4 linked regions of the Rattus norvegicus genome follow. The protein of the gene in region 4 interacts with the protein of the main gene of each other region in a biochemical or structural test. Links are inferred from orthologs where the notes say so. Each region holds a gene or a part of one and is shown on either strand. Other genes may lie near its edges.

Evidence for each region.
Region 1: the proteins of Acvr2a (region 4) and Bmp2 form a complex in vitro, tested with the Homo sapiens proteins (3 studies listed by BioGRID and IntAct, with this or other methods). The link is inferred for Rattus norvegicus from reciprocal best matches to the Homo sapiens genes ACVR2A and BMP2.
Region 2: the proteins of Acvr2a (region 4) and Synj2bp form a complex in vitro, tested with the Homo sapiens proteins (2 studies listed by BioGRID and IntAct, with this or other methods). The link is inferred for Rattus norvegicus from reciprocal best matches to the Homo sapiens genes ACVR2A and SYNJ2BP.
Region 3: the proteins of Acvr2a (region 4) and Gdf2 form a complex in vitro, tested with the Homo sapiens proteins (2 studies listed by BioGRID). The link is inferred for Rattus norvegicus from reciprocal best matches to the Homo sapiens genes ACVR2A and GDF2.

What each region holds. Positions count from the first base shown.
Region 1 is NC_086021.1:141,263,442-141,268,556, forward strand, and holds the start of Bmp2 (bone morphogenetic protein 2 precursor), read left to right. Parts: upstream 1-2,082; 5' UTR 2,083-2,326; intron 2,327-3,378; 5' UTR 3,379-3,385; coding exon 3,386-3,728; intron 3,729-5,115. UniProt on the Homo sapiens protein: Growth factor of the TGF-beta superfamily that plays essential roles in many developmental processes, including cardiogenesis, neurogenesis, and osteogenesis. Induces cartilage and bone formation.
Region 2 is NC_086024.1:106,923,458-106,927,924, forward strand, and holds part of Synj2bp (synaptojanin-2-binding protein), read right to left. Parts: intron 2,943-4,467; coding exon 2,802-2,942; 3' UTR 1-2,801. UniProt on the Homo sapiens protein: Regulates endocytosis of activin type 2 receptor kinases through the Ral/RALBP1-dependent pathway and may be involved in suppression of activin-induced signal transduction.
Region 3 is NC_086034.1:9,259,647-9,264,854, reverse strand, and holds the start of Gdf2 (growth/differentiation factor 2 precursor), read right to left. Parts: upstream 3,177-5,208; 5' UTR 3,060-3,176; coding exon 2,717-3,059; intron 1-2,716. UniProt on the Homo sapiens protein: Potent circulating inhibitor of angiogenesis. Signals through the type I activin receptor ACVRL1 but not other Alks. Signaling through SMAD1 in endothelial cells requires TGF-beta coreceptor endoglin/ENG.
Region 4 is NC_086021.1:53,612,883-53,618,121, reverse strand, and holds the start of Acvr2a (activin receptor type-2A precursor), read right to left. Parts: upstream 3,337-5,239; 5' UTR 3,323-3,336; coding exon 3,268-3,322; intron 1-3,267. UniProt on the Homo sapiens protein: On ligand binding, forms a receptor complex consisting of two type II and two type I transmembrane serine/threonine kinases.

The sequences.
Region 1 (5,115 bases), about 88 Mb from region 4:
ATTTAGGTGAGCAGAACCTAGAGTTATTTTAGCTTCCCAACTGAAAAGCTAATACACACGGATAATAGATTATTAAAGCCCCTCCTTCTGGTTTTTCTCTGTCTTTGCTTTGCAAACTTGAAAGATCTGATTCAGAACCTGGTATTACCAATCTGGTCTTCCACAGAAATGTTCTGCCCATAGCTTTGGGGGTCATGTGGGCAACAAGGTGGTAGTATGTATGAAGGCTCCTGAAATGAGGGAGAAGTGGAAAGAGTTCAAAACGAATCCTGGATCAGCAGCTTTGGGGACATTCCAGCTGAGGAAGAAAAGTGGCTTAGCCACAGTCAGAGTCTTGCTTCTGGAGACCTAGTGGAGAGGGCCAGACAGAAAATTCAAAAGTCTCAAACCAGAAATGTCTTGTTACCTGCCTCTGGTGTAGGTGGGTGGGGGAGGGGAGATAAATAGCCCAAGTATGGAAGTGATTGTTTCTATAAAGAGAACTTCTATTAACTCCCATTGTCCCCTCACATGGACAGACAGACAGACACACACACACACACACACACACACAAACACTAGAGGGGACATCCACTTTACATGTGTATATCTATGTACAGAACCTGTACCCTCATTTTTATAATTTACATAAATGAATACATATATGTATATACATCTTTTATTAGATTCATTTATTTGACTATATATGCACATGGGCGCATATAAATGTATGAATATTTATAAAATGTAATAATACACTCGAATGTGTATTGGCTATTTCTTGACATTTTCTTCTCACCATTCAAAACAGAGAAGCGTTTGCTCACATCTTTGCCAACATGTCTGATAACTTCTAGGTTCTTCTTTTTAATGTGATCTTACCTAAAAACTTCAAACTCAAGTTGAATATTGGCCCAGTGGGGGAACTCAGAGGCAAGCCTACCCTGAATTTGCCCTAAACTCGGGCATCTGGGGCACGAATCCTGGTCCCGGGGGTCTGCTTTACACTCAGCCGGGACGCGACCCCTTAGCGGCCGCGCGCTCGCCCCGCCCCGCCCCGCCGCGGCCGCCCCTCAGGGCGCGCCGTCCACACCCCTGCGCGCTGCTCCCGCCCGCCCGGGGATCCCCAGCGCGCTGCGCCTCCGAGGGGGAGGTGTTCGGCCACGGCCGGGAGGGAGCCGGCAGGCGGCGTCTCCTTTAAAAGCCGCGAGCGCCGCGCCACGGCGCCTCCGTCGTCGCCGCCGGAGTCCTCGCCCTGCCGCGCAGAGCCCGGCTCGCACTGCGCCCGCCGCTGCGCTTCCCACAGCCCGCCCGGGATTGGCAGCTCGGGACGAAGCCTCCCTAGCCCACACCGGCCATCGGACGCCCTCAGGGCGAGCGACGCGAGGGTCACCCGGGGCTTCGAGGGGCCGGCACGACACCGGTTGGAGCTGCGAACTGTGCGCGCCCGGCTCTGTGGCCTCAGCTGTCCGGGAGAAGCCAGAGTCGCGGACCGACGCTAAGAGCCGGGAGTCCGGAGCACAGTCTTACCCTCAACGCTGGGCTACTCCGACACGAGAGTGAGCGCCCGAGGCGAGCAGGAAGAGTGATCGGACCCCAGGCTGCCACAAAAGACACTTGGCCCGAGGGCTCGGAGCGTGAGGTCACCCGGTTTGGCAGCCGGGGACGCGCGGCTGGACTGTCTCGAGAATGAGCCCCAGGACGCCGGGACGCCGCAGCCGTGCGGGTTCCGCTGGCGAGCGCTGATGGGGGTGCGCCAGAGTCAGGCTGAGGGATGCGGAGTGGCGGCCCGCCCGCCACCCAGATCTTCGCTGCGCCCTTGCCGGGACCCGGCGTCGCCCACGATGGCTGCCCCGAGCCATGGGTCGCGGCCCAGCTAACGCAGAACGTCCGACCCTCGCCCGGCGAGTCCCGGAGCCGGCCCCGCGCCCCGCCAGCGCTGGTCCCTGAGGAAGACGACAGCAGCAGCCTTGCCTCAGCCTTCCCTCCCCGTCCCTGCCCCGCACTCCTCCCCCTGCTTGAGGCTGTGTGTCAGCACTTGGCTGGAGACTTCTTGAACTTGTCGGGAGAGTGACTTGGGCTCCCCACTTCGCGCCGGTGTCCTCGCCCGGCGGATCCAGTCTTGCCGCCGCCTCCAGCCCGGTCACCTCTCTGTTCCTTGGCCGGCTGGGCCCACCCCAAGACACGGTTCCCTTCGGGGAGAACACCCGGAGAAGGAGGAGGTGAAGAAAGGCAACAGAAGCCCAGTCGCTGCTCCAGGTCCCTCGGACAGAGCTTTTTCCATGTGGAGACTCTCTCAATGGACGTGCCCCCTAGTGCTTCTTAGACGGACTGCGGTCTCCTAAAGGTAGAGGACACGGGCCCGGACCCAGGGCTGGCGGGTGACACCGCTTCCCGCCCGGCGGCGCTGGGCGCCTCGGAGGACCGGTGGAGTGGACGTAAACATACCCTCTCCCGGTGCACGTGCAGCGAGCGGATCCCTAGAGGGGTCAGGCACTCTGAACCCCAGATCCCTCTGTCTTGCCCACCTGGTCTGCGACCTCCTTTCAGCCCGTTCCTCCTCCCCAGTTTTAAATACATTATCAGGGCTGTTTTGGGCTTTACCCCCTCCTCCGCCCCCAAATTGCAGAAATCCATTTAGAGAGTATGGCCGGTGGATTTCACTAGTTCATTGCCCACCAGCACTCCAAGCCTTAGAGATCCTTCGCTATCCTTAAGAACTAGGTCCCATTTAGGAAGCTACTAAAAGTCGGGGTTCTTTTTGTGTGTGTTTACTGACTGTGCGGATGTGTCACAGCTTACACGTGCATTTATAGACACTATCTATTTAGGTCATTGCAGAAAGGTGCATGGATTTCTTGACTGCACAGGGGTCTGGAGAAGGGGACAGAGTGGCCTGTGGGTCAACCTTGAAGTTAGGGGCGTAGGCCACGACTTGCAAGTGGCGTCATTAGTATTAATCTTTAGTTTACCGCTTTCTGAATCTACAATCTACCAGGAAGTTCTATACGGCGCCTCTAAGGAAGTCACTTGTGCATTTGTGTCTGTTTATGTGCAAATGAACGCTGTGCAGTATAGTTGTAAGGGATGCAGTGTCCGAACAATCTATGGGTTCCCAGCTTCCTGACACAGGCTTTACTAGCTAGTGTCACAAGAAAAGGTGACAGACAGTCATTGATTTTTCTTTTTTAAATTGGGAGTTAAGACCAAGCCCCAAGTGAGAAGTCCGGCTGGGACTTAGGGGTTCTTCATCCTCTTGATCATCCAGGCTGTAGCTTGGATGACATGCCAGGAGGGCATCCTGGAGAAGGCCAGCGAGCCCTGTGGGAGCCGGGGCCGCGGGGGCGGGCGGAGGACTGGGCGGGGAACGTGGGTGACTCACGTCGGCCCTGTCCGCAGGTCGACCATGGTGGCCGGGACCCGCTGTCTTCTAGTGTTGCTGCTTCCCCAGGTCCTCCTGGGCGGCGCGGCCGGCCTCATTCCGGAGCTGGGCCGCAAGAAGTTCGCCGGGGCATCCGGCCGCCCCTTGTCCCGGCCTTCGGACGACGTCCTCAGCGAGTTTGAGTTGAGGCTGCTCAGCATGTTTGGCCTGAAGCAGAGACCCACCCCCAGCAAGGACGTCGTGGTGCCCCCCTATATGCTCGACCTGTACCGCCGGCACTCGGGCCAGCCAGGAGCGCCCGCCCCAGACCACCGGCTGGAGAGGGCAGCCAGCCGCGCCAACACCGTGCGCAGCTTCCATCACGAAGGTGAGCGGGCGGCGGGTGGCGGGGCGGGGACAGCGGGCGGAGACTCAGTGGGCAGCCCGGGCCTCCGCTAGCACAGTGGACGGTCCTTCGGCTTCTGTACCGTCCCCTCTGTGGCCCCGAGCCAGGGATTCCCCACTGGTGAGTCCGCACCCTTTTCCTGGCAGGTGGCCAGCAGACAGACTCCTCCCCACTAGAACTGGAGGGAAATCGAGTGATGGGGAAGAGGGTGAGAGACTGGCTAGCCCCTTGTCAGCTCATTGTGGGAGAATTTCACAGAAGGCAGGGAGTTGGGGCTCCTTAAATCTGTGTGGAAGCTCAGATCTGTGGCTTGTGTTCAGGCTGGAGTTTTAAGCTAGGCAGAGGTAGTATTAACAAATCAAATCCAGGGCCCCAAAGCATTCAAATTTGCTGTTCATCTGGGCCTCGTTTGAAAGATTTTTGAATCCCTATCTAATCCCCGTGGGAGATCAATTCCACAATCCATCATACTGTTTCCCCAATGACCTTCCTTTCTCCTGCTTAACTCTTAAGTCTCCAAGTGGAGACAGGTCAAGCCTTCAGATAAAAGCATTTTCTCCCACTGCCTGCTACCTTCCTAGACAAGGTAATGGAATTTTTAAAAAAATACGATATGAGTATGGTTTCCCAAGGTAGAGTAATGTTTATTTCTTCGGAAGGAGATTTAGTGGGTAAGACATGCTGTAGAGGCCTATTGAAGTCTCTTGTGCCAATGTCCTTATAGCAGTTAGTAAAAATAATAATAATAATAATAATAATAATAATAATAATAATAATAATAATCGTGCCTCAGTTCAATTCCGTGTGTGTCACTTTAAATGTGCTTTTGGTTTAATGCAATCTCAATAGGATATCAGTTCCTTCAAGTTCTAGAAGAATTCAGAGTTGTCTGTCAGTGAGCTGCAATTTATAGAACAATGGGGAGCTAGGAGAGAAGTTCCCTTTTTAAAGCTTCGCTTTGCCTTTCTTGAGAGGATACATTTTAAGTAGAAATCTATGCTCTGAAATGGCAGCCCAACCCCCATCCCCAATAAGGGATGACTCAAACTTTGAGAAGTCTGGTTGATAATAGGAAAAAGAGCCACCGGCAGGTCACATAGCAAGGGGTGTATCTTCCTTGAGGCAGCCAATGGTTATGAAGGGCACTAGAAACTGGTGTCTAAGGTTTTCTGGGGACAACGTTCAGTATTGAAAGATAGTGAGACCTTATTCTGCTCCTTAGGGTCTGCTTGCTGAGAGAGGGAGATTCCAGAATGTACACCCCCAGCCCCCGTCCCCAGGGCTAAGCTAATCTTTCTGGGTTAATATTTATTGGAAAATGTTTTGTAGATCAAAACAAACAAACAAAACCACTAGCCAGCACAGCTGT
Region 2 (4,467 bases), on a different chromosome or scaffold from region 4:
CTATTAGAATTACATATAATTCACAATGACAAATACAAGAAACACTTTATGGGAACTTAAAAAATACCTATAACCAATTTTCAAAACATTAAACATTACAATTTATGCCATAGGAGCATCATATATAATCTTTTAAGGAATATTTGAGTCAATCTATAAGGAATATAAAATCTGAATAATCTATATAGATCCTCAACATCTCATGTATGATAATTTTATAACTAAGAGTGAAATATTATGGAATTTGCCTAAAACTTAAATGCTTTGGTCAAGTGTTGTTTCTTTCCCAAGGAGACCCAAGTGTTACCAGAATCTTTACAAAGTAAAACTTCAACGATATTTTTTATTTATATCACAATACACCACACATCAACACACAACAGTGGTTTATCCTTCTTGACATTTGCTTTACTTCGTTTGACTGAAGGTCTTTCAAAATACATTTCCAAGCCTTGAGGTAAATACTAGAGGGAAACAGGCCCACAGCAGAGCTGTTACCCCTGCTTCAGATACAAGGAGGGCACCGGACACTGGGCCTCCGGAGTGCTGCTGGTCAAGACAAGAACTGAAATACATACGTCTTGCTTTCTGTGGAACTTACAATGACTCCTGTTATGAAGTCAGTTTCAAGAAGTACTGAATGGCTTGGTTATGTGAAGACTGTTTAAAGCAAATGTCTCCCTGTATCAACAGTTTATCCAGAGGCAAAGGCTCACTGGACTGTTCAAGACTTTCCTTTGCATTCTCCCCCGATGCCACTGCAGGAAGGCTCTCCCGTTCTGAGCTCCTTACAACATGCTAGCTGTCTGCTCATCCTCCACATTGCTGCATCGTGCTCTGTCTCGCATGGCAATAGTTTCCTTTTCTTACTCAACCCGGTAAGACTCTTAACTTGTCCCCTATGTATGCATGCTTGCTAGACGATTGGCACCTAAGGAGTCCTTCCTCTGAGATCTTCAGTGCTCAAAGCTTGGGAGCTATTTTCTTTTGTTGTCTGTAATATAAACAACTTACACTTACATGGATAATTCCATCTTAAGTGTTTTCTTCCTAACTGTAACCACAATGTCCTTTTGGATGAAGTGTGTGCATTTCCCTTTGTTATAAAGGTGTCTTGACAAAACTAATGTGCAATCGACATCTGTTAAGTGACTGCTAGGTTGTCAGGAAAACTCTTTATAATCTTAGGTCAAAATAGTCTGGCCAATTTATTGAAAAGACGGAAATTATTTTGTTAAAGTGAAAAAAAAAATTAGGCTTGGTTCAACTATCCTCAGTACTCTAAAACCAACTTTGATGCTACATAAACAGGACAGCTCCACTACCCCCCACCCCCCAATATCCCTGGCTATTCTCTGGCATAGTTAATCTACTCTGTGTGCTCAGGCTTTCCTCAGAAATGCTCACTAAACTTCCTTGCACCCTCTATAAACAAACAAACCTTATTCCTTCCCCTTTTTCTGAAAAAATGGTCCATTACCTTATTAAAACCAAAACTAGTGCTTATAGCTTTGGGAAAAATACACAAAAAGAAAGCCTACATCAATTTGGGCCTTCTCATCGTAACTCTATCAGAAGCAGGCTGATTTGGGGTCCACCCTGCCAGGAAAGCAGTCCCTTCCCTTAGGCTTTGCCTGATACTAGAAACTGAAAGTTGGTGAGCACTTTGAGGGTTCAAGTGCCACCCTGAGGTATGATCTTTTTTCAGTTGTCTTGATGGTTTATTTGGCCCTCCTACTTCTCATCTCCATGCCAATGGATCCTTTCACATAGTACAACAGTCACTAAGGTCATTCAGAGACTGTCAGGACTCATCTTTACACCCCAAAGTCTTTTAAACAAATTGACTTGAGAAGAACTGCTTTGCCACAATTTCCCACATCACTGTAGCTACCCTGGAACACTAGTTGTTCTACAGTTTTCAACTAATTGCTTCAGTCATTATTTTCCTAATGCCACTGACTGAGCATTCTCTTTTAAAGCTAACTTTTCCATCCCCGTTATACCTTCTCTGCCAATAATTTTTGAAGTGTTTCAGTTATGATCAGCCCTTAGGACTGTGTATGTTTTTAACTTGTGGACAAAGACTTACAGACAAGTGGAAAAAGTAAGTTCTCTTTACAATCCAGAACTCATTCTTTAATATGAGTTTTGATTATATATAAAGGAATATGACCCCCTAGTTCCCAAAACTTGTCCACTAGAAATCCAAGAACCAGTAGTTTTCTCACCTCTTTAACTCTCCATAAGGCATCAGTTTTATGCTGTGTGTGTGTGTGTGTGTGTGTGTGTTAGTGTATATATGTATTTTCTTTTCTAAGAAAAGAAAAAAATTCATTCGCCTATGTCCAATATAGGCATCTAAGTATATAGTTACAAATTAAAGGCCACAAATACTTCCCAAGAAAAAGTATTTAAAAAATCAGCTCCTCCTTTCACATAGCACAGCTAGCCTTCAAAGCACACCAGCTAAGCAAAAGGTGTCGTCCATGGAGACAGGAAGAGCAAGCTTCTCCTCTTTGGCTGATAGCTGAATTTTTATTGGCAGTTCTAGTAAAATATGTAACTTCTCATTTATTCTAAGCAAGGCTCTCCCCACCCCCAGCTTTCTTCAAATAATCTCTTTACTCTTCCATTAGAATGTGAAGTCTTGGAGATTTTGAACAGCAAGGTTTCGGGTGATAAGCAGTCACTTTAAATCATGTGTTGGCTATGTGGGAAGGAAGACTAGGGGAGGATGTCGAGATGGTGAGTGAGAGAGATAGTTAGCTCATCGGACACACTGGAAGACAACAGGCATCTCAGAGCTGCTTTCGGTATCTCACGAAGGCCCAAACTGCTACCAGGGTAAGGGCAAACACTGGCAGCAGCACCACAGCTACAGGAACTCCACTCGGCTCTCCGTCGCCTCGATGAACTATAGGTCCATTCTGCACTGGTAACTGAAAGGGAAGGGGGAATATTAACTCTCTGACTACTGTATGTGCCACAGCTAAAAGATCCAAGTTGACAATTACCTGGAGATGTAATCTATACCACCCAAAGCTATAAAATCCACACACTTTCCACCAAAAGAAATGAACTACTGTCCTACCTGATGCATCACTCACAGACTTTCCGATAGGGAAGCATTTGACTTTAGTTTACTACTGGCTTAATGGGACCTCACAGAGTAGAGTAGATAATTCCTGTTTCTATAATGTCTCTACCTTCTTATATATGATTCTTAACAGGAAAGTGAAGGGGTGAGATGAAAATGATGGCCCTTCAGGAAGTTTGGATATTGCAGAGCAGGAAAAGGGAGAGGAAGGAAGCAGCTTTCTTTCTGGAAACATTTACTTACAAAGAATATCAGTCATTTTAATACAATAAGAGCAGATCCAAATTCTGTCAACACAGTTCCAATGTCATTACTGGGAAAGCTTCTAAGTTAGCCTCTCGCTCCTAAGATGGGGTATTGTCCTCCATGCCCAAGTTTGCAATGCTAGGTACAGATAAAGGTGAAATCTACAGGAGGAGACATTAAAGACTTAAGAGATAAAGAAACCACATCCTAGTCATTCTCAATTTCTATCCCCCAAGTATTTCTTTTTATACTTGCATTGTCTTTCTTCATTCCAACTCTGTTTTACAGGGTGGACCCTCTTAAATCAATTTTTGATGGTTAACTTGAAATCACTACAATGCCATCTTCTTCCAGTTAGATTTAACCTCATTACATCCAGCCCACAGAACCCGAATCCCTTCCACTGAGAAGCAAGTACACAAACTGTCTTCTAGAACTGCTGTCCTATCCCTTATCACTGATGACAAGTCCTGAACAGCCATGCTTACTGGAAAGACATGGTTTTTCAGGATTAGATGAGCTTTTTGACCAATACTGCCTGTTGTATTTTAAGTTATTTGAGGCTGTTTCTAAAGTGAATGCACATCTTCAAAAGGAACCCTGATCATATCTGAAATATATGCCCACATAAATTCTCCATGCTTTAGAACCAGAGGAGCCCCTGCAAAGGCAGACACTAACCAATACTGTACTGTCTTTTATCTACCTGCCTCTGAGTTCAACACAACCACGTTCTGCTTGCAACTCTGGCCGCTTGCTTAGATATAACTTATGTCCTTTTGGGTTTGGGTTTTTTTGTTTTTGTTTTTTTTTATATAGTTTGAGTTTTCTTTTAGAGTCTCAACATGTAGTTCAAACTGGCACCGCTTTCTCCAGTTTTTTTTTACTAGCTCCTTTCAATCATCTTCGGCCTCTTACCAAGTAATTCTACTTTCCTTCCATTTTCACTTATAAACTTTAATCCACTAAAGGTAGGACCTGGGTTACACGCTGGTTTTACTGATAGGCAGAAATAACAAAGAACTCCTGCCTACGCTAGACAAAGGCAATCCCAGCAAAAGACAAAGCAAAACAGACTTTGAAGATTACAAGTTTATTCCCAAGTACAGTACAAAAGCCTA
Region 3 (5,208 bases), on a different chromosome or scaffold from region 4:
CGTACCTAAGGCAAGCCAGAAAATACACTGTCAGGATTAGAGTAAAGATTCTGCAGTGCTGGCTGGGGACCACCAAGGTCAAATATTTAATTAAAAATCAAAATAAAAAATATTTAGATAAAGTGAAACATTGCATGCAGCATTAGAGTATCTAAGTCGTTGGAATGGTGTTGATAGCTACCATCGAAAGCGAAAGTGCTTTTATTTTTAAGACAAAAATGTATCTTCATGCCAACAGCATTGTCACGTTAGGCAGAAAGATGGGGGTTTTCTCCCAGCCTCATAATTGCTTCTCACTTCTCCTGGCCTGCAGCTTGACCACAAGCATTGCCATTTGTGGGTCGGTGCCCACTCTCAGTCAGTGCATTATCCATAGGAGACGTGTTCTGATACAACCACTGGATGCCCGGAGGTACAGGTAGTTCTAAGCCCTGCACACCGTGTTCCTTCTGTGTGCACGCACGCCCGTGCTGATGCAAAGTGTGTAAATCAGGCTCAGCCAGAGCTTAACCGAGAGTAAAGAAAATGGGAAGTTTAAAAAAATATACCCGTGACAAAAGTGACTTCGAAATTATGAGCTGTTTGTTTCTAGATGTACATTTAATAGACACAGTAGAACCTCAGAAATAGGCCTAGGCTCTCTCAGATGGGTCTATTGCATGGGGAAAGATAAGCAGAGACCCATGCTACTGAGATCTAGCGACTGGTCTGGAGAATAGAGGGGTCAACCTGATGGTCCCTCACTGGGGACTTGTATCCTTGGGAAATTTTTAGCCTTTTGTTGCCTCCGTTTCCTCTCTTGCACCACAGGGCCCTTCTCACCAGTTTATCAAGGTGGCTCATGAAGCTCGCAGGCCACTCACAAGCCAGCAGCTGATGCTTAGATGACACTTCTGTCCCCTCCAACCCCGTGCAAGCCCAGTGCATGTGACAAAGCATGGCGCCCTCACTCTGGCTACCTCCACAGTGGCTGTGGAACCACTCACTGCCAGACACCAGAAACCACACACCCACGGGCATTAGGCGAGTGTTTCCTAGGTCACACGTGAACGGTGTTGATGTTGCTGCTACTGAGTACACGGAGTTAATTGCGTCAATGACATACGTGGAGGGGGTTGGGATCTCTGGCTGGGCTCACATTCTGGCCTGTGGGATATGACGACTTAGGTCCCCAATTACAAAACAAAAACAAAACAAAACAAAACAAACAAACAAAAAAAAAAAACAACCAGCCTTTACCCTAGGTAGAGATCCTAGACAAACCCAGGGGCCTGGTGACCTATAAACTATATGCTTTTTTTTTTTTATTAACTTGAGTATTTCTTATATACATTTCGAATGTTATTCCCTTTCCTGGTTTCCGGGCAAACAGCCCCCTAATCCCTCCCCCTCCCCTTCTTTATGGGTGTTCCCCTCCCCACCCTCCCCCCATTGCCGCCCTCCCCCCAACAGTCTAGTTCACTGGGGGTTCAGTCTTAGCAGGACCCAGGGCTTCCCCTTCCACTGGTGCTCTTACTAGGATATTCATTGCTACCTATGAGGTCAGAGTCCAGGGTCAGTCCATGTATAGTCTTTAGGTAGTGGCTTAAACTATATGCTTTTAACGAAGCCATTAAACAGGAAGTTTCATGTTCCTCTGAAACTTCCTGTTGAGCAGCCAGAAAAGTTGGACAGATCTGGCCGGGCCTGGCTGTGGCCCTGAACTGGGACCCTTGGGCATTTGCAAATCTCTGGACAAGAAAGAGAGAAAGGACCTGGGCTCCGGGTCCTTCAGAGCAAGATGCCAAACAGAAGAAGGGGCGACTGGAGCTGGTTTTATGCAGGATGTAGGGACGGCAACGTGACCTCGCAGTGGGTGCCTGACCTGGGTTCCTCAGCCTTGGTGACCCTAGCTCTCTGTTCAGTAACTCATTCTACCCAGATTCTGTTGTTCTGTGACTTGCCAGTTATAGACCTCGCCTCCGTGTTTGCCTTCTAATCTTCCTAAATCATGGACACTTGGCAGGGAAAACGTATTGGACCGACACACTGCCTACTGCCCTGAGGAAGATTACACCCTGGACATAATGAGGGCCTCTTCTAGTCCTACTCTATTAACTTTTTAAAATCTGGGTCTAAAGTGCACTTTATAAGAGAGAACCCTTTCCTTTAAAGCTGAAAAAAAATACAAGTTTATTGAAGGCTAAATGAAGGATCTATTTCTAAGTCAGAAGAAGATGGGAAGGGAGAGAGGAAGATAGGAAGGGAAGAGGAAGAGAAGTCAAGTGGAAAGAAAAGGGAGGAGAGGGAAGAGGAGGCGTGAGAGAGGAGGGAGGGGAAGTGGGGGAGGACAGAAGGAGATCGAAGGAGACTGAAGCAAAAATCAGGGAAAGAAAAAGAAGGTGAGGAAGTGGACAGAGGGACGCAGAAACCTGGTATACTGGATACGGGGTTAACCGTGGATATGATTCTGGGGAGGAGCCAGGCTGTGCACCGGACCCTTTAGTGTTGATGGACAGGACCCATGATTCGCACTGCCTTGTGGGGAAGCCATTAGCCACACGCGAATGATGAACAGGAAACTCGTATTTTCTCCCTATTTCACCAAGGGTCACTTCAATAGAAACCTGAAGATCCGCTTGTGGTCAGTGGCCATCCCACCCGGCAGAGCCACTGCACTGTGGGGGGCAGGGCGCACTATGTCCCACCCCATGGAAGTCCGGGGAAAGCACTGTACCTTCCACGCTGAAGCTCCGCACGATGTTGGAGGCAGGCGTGGACGACTTGTCCGTAGTGTATCTGTTGTACAAGTCGATCATGTACTGGGGTGGCTCCGCTCTGGTTTTGTCCTGAGAGGGAATGCCACTCAGGTTAAGGCTGCGCAGGAAGTCCACTTTCATGTTCTCCAGAAACATCTTCAGGTCAAAGACGCCCTCCTCTCTGCTTCCAGACAATCCCAGGGAGCTGCGGGCATTTCCCCCAGGGGATGCCTGCCCCCAGCTCTGCAGCGGCTTCTGCTGCGTGGGACAGACCAGCAGGAGCAGCGTGAGCAGGACCACCCGGAAGGCCCCAGGGGACATCTTGGGCCCTAAAGGGGGACTGCCCTGCAGGCCGTTGTGTTGTATCACTAGGTGCAATGGGGAGCCCAGGAGGAACAGGCCCACATTGTCCTGTTGACTGCTCAGCAGGGAGCCTGGCTGGCTCAGTTCTCCCCAACAGCCCGACAATCTCCCACTCTACTTATCTGGGTGTGGATGCTATGCTCAGACCTCTTATCTAAGGCAGCTCTCTTTAATGAAGGCTGTATAAACATCTGACAAGCACCAGGGGCTGGTGGGAAGGATCCTGACTACTGTAAAGGATCGACATTTCTCCGGAGGGTCATCCACCCTAATTAGGATCTTTGTCCATTTCCTTGCTGGCTTGGTTCAGAAAACTCCAGGCAGGGTACACAGACCTTCTCTGCTGGACCACAGAAACAAAGAATTCAGAAAATGAGGCTGGGAAGTTCCCTAAATATAGAAAGCTCACCAAGTACCCAGAAGATGACACGAGCTGTGGGGGTCAGGAAGGTGGGGAGGTGTGGGAGATTGCATCAGGGGTAGGCGAAGTCTGGTCCTTACGGTATCCTTACGGGACCCGGCAGTGTATCTGGGCGCTGCCCTCTGAGGGAAGAGCTCCTGAGTATTGAGAATGGAGTGTGGACGGGCCCAGGGCATTCTGTGGACAGGCAAAACAGATGATAGCTCCTGTTCCCACTGTTCCTCCACGCTGTGGCCTGGGCCCTTTGAGCTTCCTTTTAGAAGATGCGTTTGCCTACATGTAGGCCACTTCCAGCTCCTGACAGTGGGTGGTCATGTTCAAGCCACCCTCCAGTGCTGGCTCTGACTGTGCTGGGGGAGGAAGCTGGCTGCTCATTAGTCCCACAAACACATGTATCTGAGGCTCTGAGCTCCATCCCTGACCCTGCTCTGTATGGTGCTGGTGCATGCAAGTATACAAGTGTAGAAGTGTGTATGTGTGTGTGAGTGTGTGTGTGAGTGTGTGTGTGAGTATGTGTGTGAGTGTGTGTGAGTGTGTGTGAGTATGTGTATGTGTGTGTATGTGAGTGTGTGTATATGTGTATGTGTGTGAGTGTGTATGTGTGTATGTGTGTGTGAATGTGAGTGTGTGTGCGCGTATGTGTATGTGTGTGAGTGTGTGTGTGTGTATGTGTATGTGTGTGTATGTGTGTGTGTGAGTGTGTGTGAGTATGTGTATGTGTGTATGTGTATGTGTGTGTGAGTGTGTGTATATGTGTGTGTATGTGTGTGAGTGTGTATGTGTGTATGTGTGTGAGTGTGTGTGCGTATGTGTATGTGTGTGTATGTGTGTGTGAGTGTGTATGTGTGCGTATGTGTACGTGTGTATGTGTGTGTGTATGTGTGTGTGAGTGTGTGTATGTGAGTGTGTGTGTGTGCATATGTGTATGTGTGTGTGAGTGTGTGTGTGAGTGTGTGTGTGAGTGTGTGTGTGAGAGAATGTATGTATGTCTGTAAGTGTGTTTTGTGTGTGTGTGTGTGTGTGTGTGTGTGTGTGTGTATGTGTGGTATTCAGAGGATGACTTGATTCATGTCAGCAGGGAGGCCATCTGGACCAGAGTTCTCAGTCAGGAGACCCACAGAGAGGTTAGGACTCACAGGAGCAGTTGGGCAGCTCTGAGACTGATCTCATGCCCAGAGATGGCTTCTAGCCTGTGAAGGCTGCTTGAGTTAGTCCAAAGACAACGTTTAAAAGCCGTGTCCCTGTGCTTGGCCCCCATCTATTTCCATCACAAGTAGTGTTAGTCAAAGTGAAGAAAGAAGACAGTTAAAAATGTTTGGGATTGTGGCAGCCTACTCCGAGGAAGATGGAGTGTGATATTCTGTGCTTGTCAGGGCTCCTGAGGAGAGGGAATAGAGGGCCAAGAAAGTTCAAGACATTGCAGGATGGACTACGGCAAGGTGTGGTCAGAGGTCTCAGAGTGGGAGGGTGAAACCAGGAACTGCCAGGGAGAACTTGTACCCACCCTTTCAGAGACACAATGAGGGGAGAAAGGAAGGGTACAGCCGAGGAGATGCCTATTGGACTGAAAGAGGAAGTATGCTGGGCACCTAGTCCACATAAGAAGCCTAAGGGCTGAGAAAGACGACTGCAGTGCACACCGAGCCCAGGAGATGGCGCTGAAGCTGCAGAGCCAGTGGGCCAGGA
Region 4 (5,239 bases):
CTTTCACCCACTAGGTGCCAATTAAGTAAGTATCCCCTCCCCAGTTTTGACAAATAAAAAAGGTCTCTAGATGTCTCCTGAGGAGGACAGACAACGATCACTCCAGCATGAGAACCACTAGCTCAGATCATAAACAGGAAAATTTTCAAAGTGGAATGGGGGAGGGAGACTTTGTTTTGGTTTTTTATCTAGTCTGTATGTTTCGGCATAGTATACTGGGATTTAACAGCATACATGTAAGAGATTTCTACCTTTAAGAAACAAAGCACTGGGCTGGAGACGCAGTTTGGCAAGCAAGAATATTTGCTGATCTTCTAGAGGGCCAGAGCTCAGTTCCCAGCACCTCCATAAGACTAATTCCAGAGGATCTAACACCTCTGTCCTTCATGCATTTACATGCACATGCCCACCCACAAGCAGACACACACCTACAAATAATTAAGACAAGTAAGAATAAGTCTCTTCTTTAAAAAAAAAATAGACAAAAGAAAAAGCATTACTAAATATCACTTGCTAGCCAACATTCAGAAGTCCTAGAAGACTGTTCTATCAGCTCTCACTCCAACTACACAGTGATGCCTAGCTATCAACTACTGTATTTCTGCTCTTCTTTCATGAATATACTGACCACACTGTTACCAGTTCATACACAATCCAAAAGAATCTTCAACTTCACAGCCACTCAAATAGCATAGGAGCTATAGTACCTAGGTGAGATAAATGTCAGTACTGGGCAATGTTAAATTCATCCTCACATTTTTACAAATTGTGAGAAAACACAAAAATTAGCCATGATGCTTCAAACAGTAAAAAGCAGATCTGTGTTTTGAAACAGACTCTGAAGAAGGATAAAGAGGAATAAAAATTAAAAATCATAGGGAATCTGAAAGCACTCCAGGATGAGGGCAAAACTTAAAATGTTTCTCCTGGAATGAGAGCAAGGAGGAAATTATACACTTGGCCATATCCTACAGGAATAGTCTGCATAATCAGTCTCCACAGCACACACCATGGGATGGAAGCTGAAAAAGCCAAAGACTAAAAACATTTAAAAGCCAGCAACCATGCCTCCTTCCTGAACACCTTGAATAAACACATTCCTTACTACTGTTTCCCATTTGATTTTTCTAAGTCAGATACCCAGAAACAAACTGGTAATTTAGTAAATTACTTAATTCTAATAAAAATAGCCACCCTCTGCTTCCAGTGCCAGATTACACATTACACAGAAAAATCAATTAGAAGACACCACACACACACACACACACACACACACACACGGGGGAAGGAGGGCTTTTAAGAGTGCATTTAATCCCTAACGAAGTCCTTAAAAAAAAAAAATTAAGACATTTTAAGCACAAAAACACCTTCATGTATCAATATGGATTAAAGCTTTTCAAATTATTTTAATGAATTATCTCTATGTTCTACAACAGCAGAACTTCTCTACCTCAAAATTTTTGCTATCAACCTAGGAGCCCAGGGATCATAATCATAAAGGGAACTACTGCTCAGTTCCTTTTACTCCCAAACCAAGCAGAGGAAGCTGTAAGATCTGTAGTGTCAGCTTGCTTTTCCAGGAGTGATACCTTGGGGCTGCTCAAGAATAACCTCCCTCATCAATTAATGAGACTCAGGTGGGTTTGAGAAAGAATAATGTCCAGTCCTTGGTCAGTGGCCATGATGCCCCTCCTCCTCAAGGGCAGATGAGAAAAAAAGGAAACCTGAACGGAGACCTAAACAGGAGTTTACCAGCAAGATATATCGGGTCGGGGGGGAAGCAATATGAGGGGAAAAACTACACGGTTAAGTCAGTTCCGAAAAGCAAGATATTTAACATTATCAAAGCTTTCATTCATTTCAGACACCATTGTTTAGCTGGCTTTCTAAACCAAGCACAAAAAGAACTGTCCGCCTGCCTTAAGCATGTTCCTTCTTCCATTTAAACAGACATGATTCTTTTGGTTAATCTCTGGCAATGATCGCCATTTCACAACACATTCAGCCCACCCGGAACTGATCAATACCACTACAGACATAAGACTAGACTTTATCCATTTATTAACCACAAGGAAATGTACCATTCAGCAAAATTCTATACATTACAAAAGATTCTATTAAAAGGGGGGTGGGGTGGGGAAGATGGACGGACACACACACACACAACAGAGAGAGGTACACAAAGAAAAGACTACCACCTTCTAATTTCCCTGTGACATACGAGGGAACGACACAGCCATGAAACCTGTCAATTCGTCCCCCACCCCTCTTCTTTGCCACAACCTAGGAAGTATCCACTGAATTTTTATAATGAATGTATTCACTGTGACTTTTAAACTGTTTCATCCCTCGAACTAACTCTCCTGTTAAGTGCGTTTGCACACCTTTCAGCTAGATGTATGCATTTCCAGAAATTCAAGTACAAAAGCCTAGTTTTTCCAACCACTGGTTGCAACCATACAACATCTTCATATAATCATAATTTTCGGATATAAAATGGCCAGAGTATTCTCCTAACCTTGAGCTAAAAAACATCTCACAAGAATAGCACATTTAACATGAGCACAATTTCACATGCCCTGTTCTAAACTGAAAACAATGTGTCAGTACAAAGCATTTAAAAGAAGTATTCCGTAGGTAAGCAGAATCTACGCCTGAAAAGAGCACACAAATGGTGGGTGAAAGCCAACACACACCACCAACACACACCAGCATACCTCTCCTGCACTGGGTTATGGTTAATACTCGGCAACTAAAACTATTTTTAACACTACTGGACAATGAAGTTGGAGAAAACGTGAGAGAAGACCTAGATTAAATCGCAGATAGGATGCATTGTTTCTCACAGTCAAAATTAAACACCAGCCCACTTGATCTATGTCTCGATATTCACCGGTGAAGCACTAATTAGATGACGACCAAAACCGGTCCTTGTTTTGGAACAGCTTAGGCTAAATGACATTTCGGAATACCTCCTTCTGGGTCTCAAACCTTTACATAAATTTTCACTTGTGGTATTTGCGGCTTCACAGCAACCCAACCAGCGCTGTCATCGAGTGTTATGGCCACAAACCATGACTTTCTCACTTGCACAACAACACGGCACTCAACCTATCAGTTCGCCAAACCAACCCAAAACAAGTGGAATTCGTGGAGATTTCCAGATTGTCAGGGCTGCGGGGTTGGGCGCGGGAAAAGCCTCGGCCCCAGAACTGCCCAGCCGACAGCAGCCGGCCACAGCCCCGCCGCGCCGGCTCCTCCACCTACCTGAAGAGCAAGAGATAAGAAAGACGGCGAACGCCAACTTTGCAGCAGCTCCCATTTTCCCGAGGCGCCGGAGAAGCCGTAGGAAGTTCTCGCTAGATATCCAGTTCCCTGGGTCTTCCTCGGAGACAAACCTCCTGGTGTAAAATCAACCGTCATAAAACATATTCGGAAGCCCCGAGGCGGGGGGGAGGGGGGAGCAAAAACGTTCACAGGGTCGAAAAAAGGGGGGAAAAAGGCACAACAATTTAAAAAATTGTACCACGGGGGAAAAACCGCCACATACACGCACAACACACAAAACCAAACAACGAAAAGCCAACAACAACAAAAGCGGGTTGGAATCACTGTCAAAATCACTGTCAGCTCCGCTCGCCTCTCGCGTCTCAGTGAACAAAACGCCTGACTGAGGCGACGAGGCGGCGGCGGCGGCGGCGCCCGCAGCCGCCCGGACGGTCCGGGAGCCGAGCTGCTCCGACGTCCGGACCGACCTTCAACCCGGACACCCAAAGTCCGCGGACCACGGTAGCCGAGCTTGCGGCGGTGGCGGTGCGAGGCGGCGACGGAAGACGGCCACCGGAGACTGCTGCGCAGGAGGCGGCCAAGTTCTGGTCCAGGCTGTGGCTCCGGCTCCCGGCTCCCGGCTCGGCCGCGTTTTCGGTCTCCTGGCCTCCGCCGGCCCCGCCCCCTACACTTCCGGTTCCGGCCCGAAGCTGGAAGCCAGGCGCGGCGGAGAACGCTCCGCGGCGGCGGTGGCGGCGGCGGCGGGAGCGGCGGCAGGGCGCAGCGCGCGTGCCGGGCGGCGAGCGCGAGGAGATTGCCCGGGAGGCGGGGCGAGCCGGAGGGGCGGGGCCGGGGCTGGAGCGCGCTCTGCGAGGCCTGCGGGACCCAAGACCGAGCTGACGGGACGGCGGGCCCTGCGGGTGCCTGCTACGGTCTCGAGACCCCTGGAGTGCCCAGTGCGGTGCCCGCCCGGGCGCGAGATCCGCGGCGCCCGAGCGGGATGGGCGATGCCAAGGCCGACTGCGGCGCCCAGCCTTTCCTCTGGGGGACGCCGAGGCCGCGCCGAGCTGATCGGAGTGGGCGGGAGCCGCACCCGCTGCTGCCCGAGCGAGCTCGGTGCTCGCGAGCCGGCCGCGCCCCCGCCGCGGAGGCCTCCCAGCGTTTGTCTTTGGGCTAAAAAATAAAGGCAGGAAGGGCTGTCCGCCAGGTCAGAACACCCTCGCCGGTTAGCTGGTTGTGCGGTTCGGATCCTTTCCACCATACCTTGTATACACAAAGCATTGTGTTGCAAACAGGTTTGCTCCTAGTTAGCGAGAAAAGTCTGTATTAAGCTTGAAGTGAAAACTGCAGATTTCAATGTATTGGACAGTCAGAGACGTTGGTATTATCAATTCTATGCCTCTTGTAAGACCTATTTTACCCCGTAAGCCATGTTGAACTGTTTCCCGGGTGTTCAGTTAAGCACCGAAACAAATACAAAATGTAAAAATGTGACCCCTACCTCCAGAAGCTCGGCTATTTGGGATATTAGAAGTTAACTAGAGCGTGCAGAGAATGATTGCTAGAGCCAGTACGTTTGCCATTTACCACAATTCAGCATAATAAAGAGGGAGATATTGTCTTTTTTTTTCCCACTTTACTCCAGCACTGAAGGTTTTGACAGGAATGCTTCCTCAGTAGAAACGTAAATATCTAGAGGTTTACCTTTTTATCTTAACACAATAACCTCTATCTACTATACAGTGTTTGGAGATTTTTTTTTTTTAATAAAAAAAAGGAAGCAACTGTGGGATGGGTAATTAATGTTTTAGTGTACACTGATTCCCACATTTTTCCACAAACTCACTTGTATTTATGTTTTCTTTTTCTCTTCCTATAAACTGCTCTATATTTCTGTCTATTAAGTACATCCTATAATTATCTGCCTATTTCTACTACTTGTCAGGGTTAATAATCATTGTGGCTCTTTAAA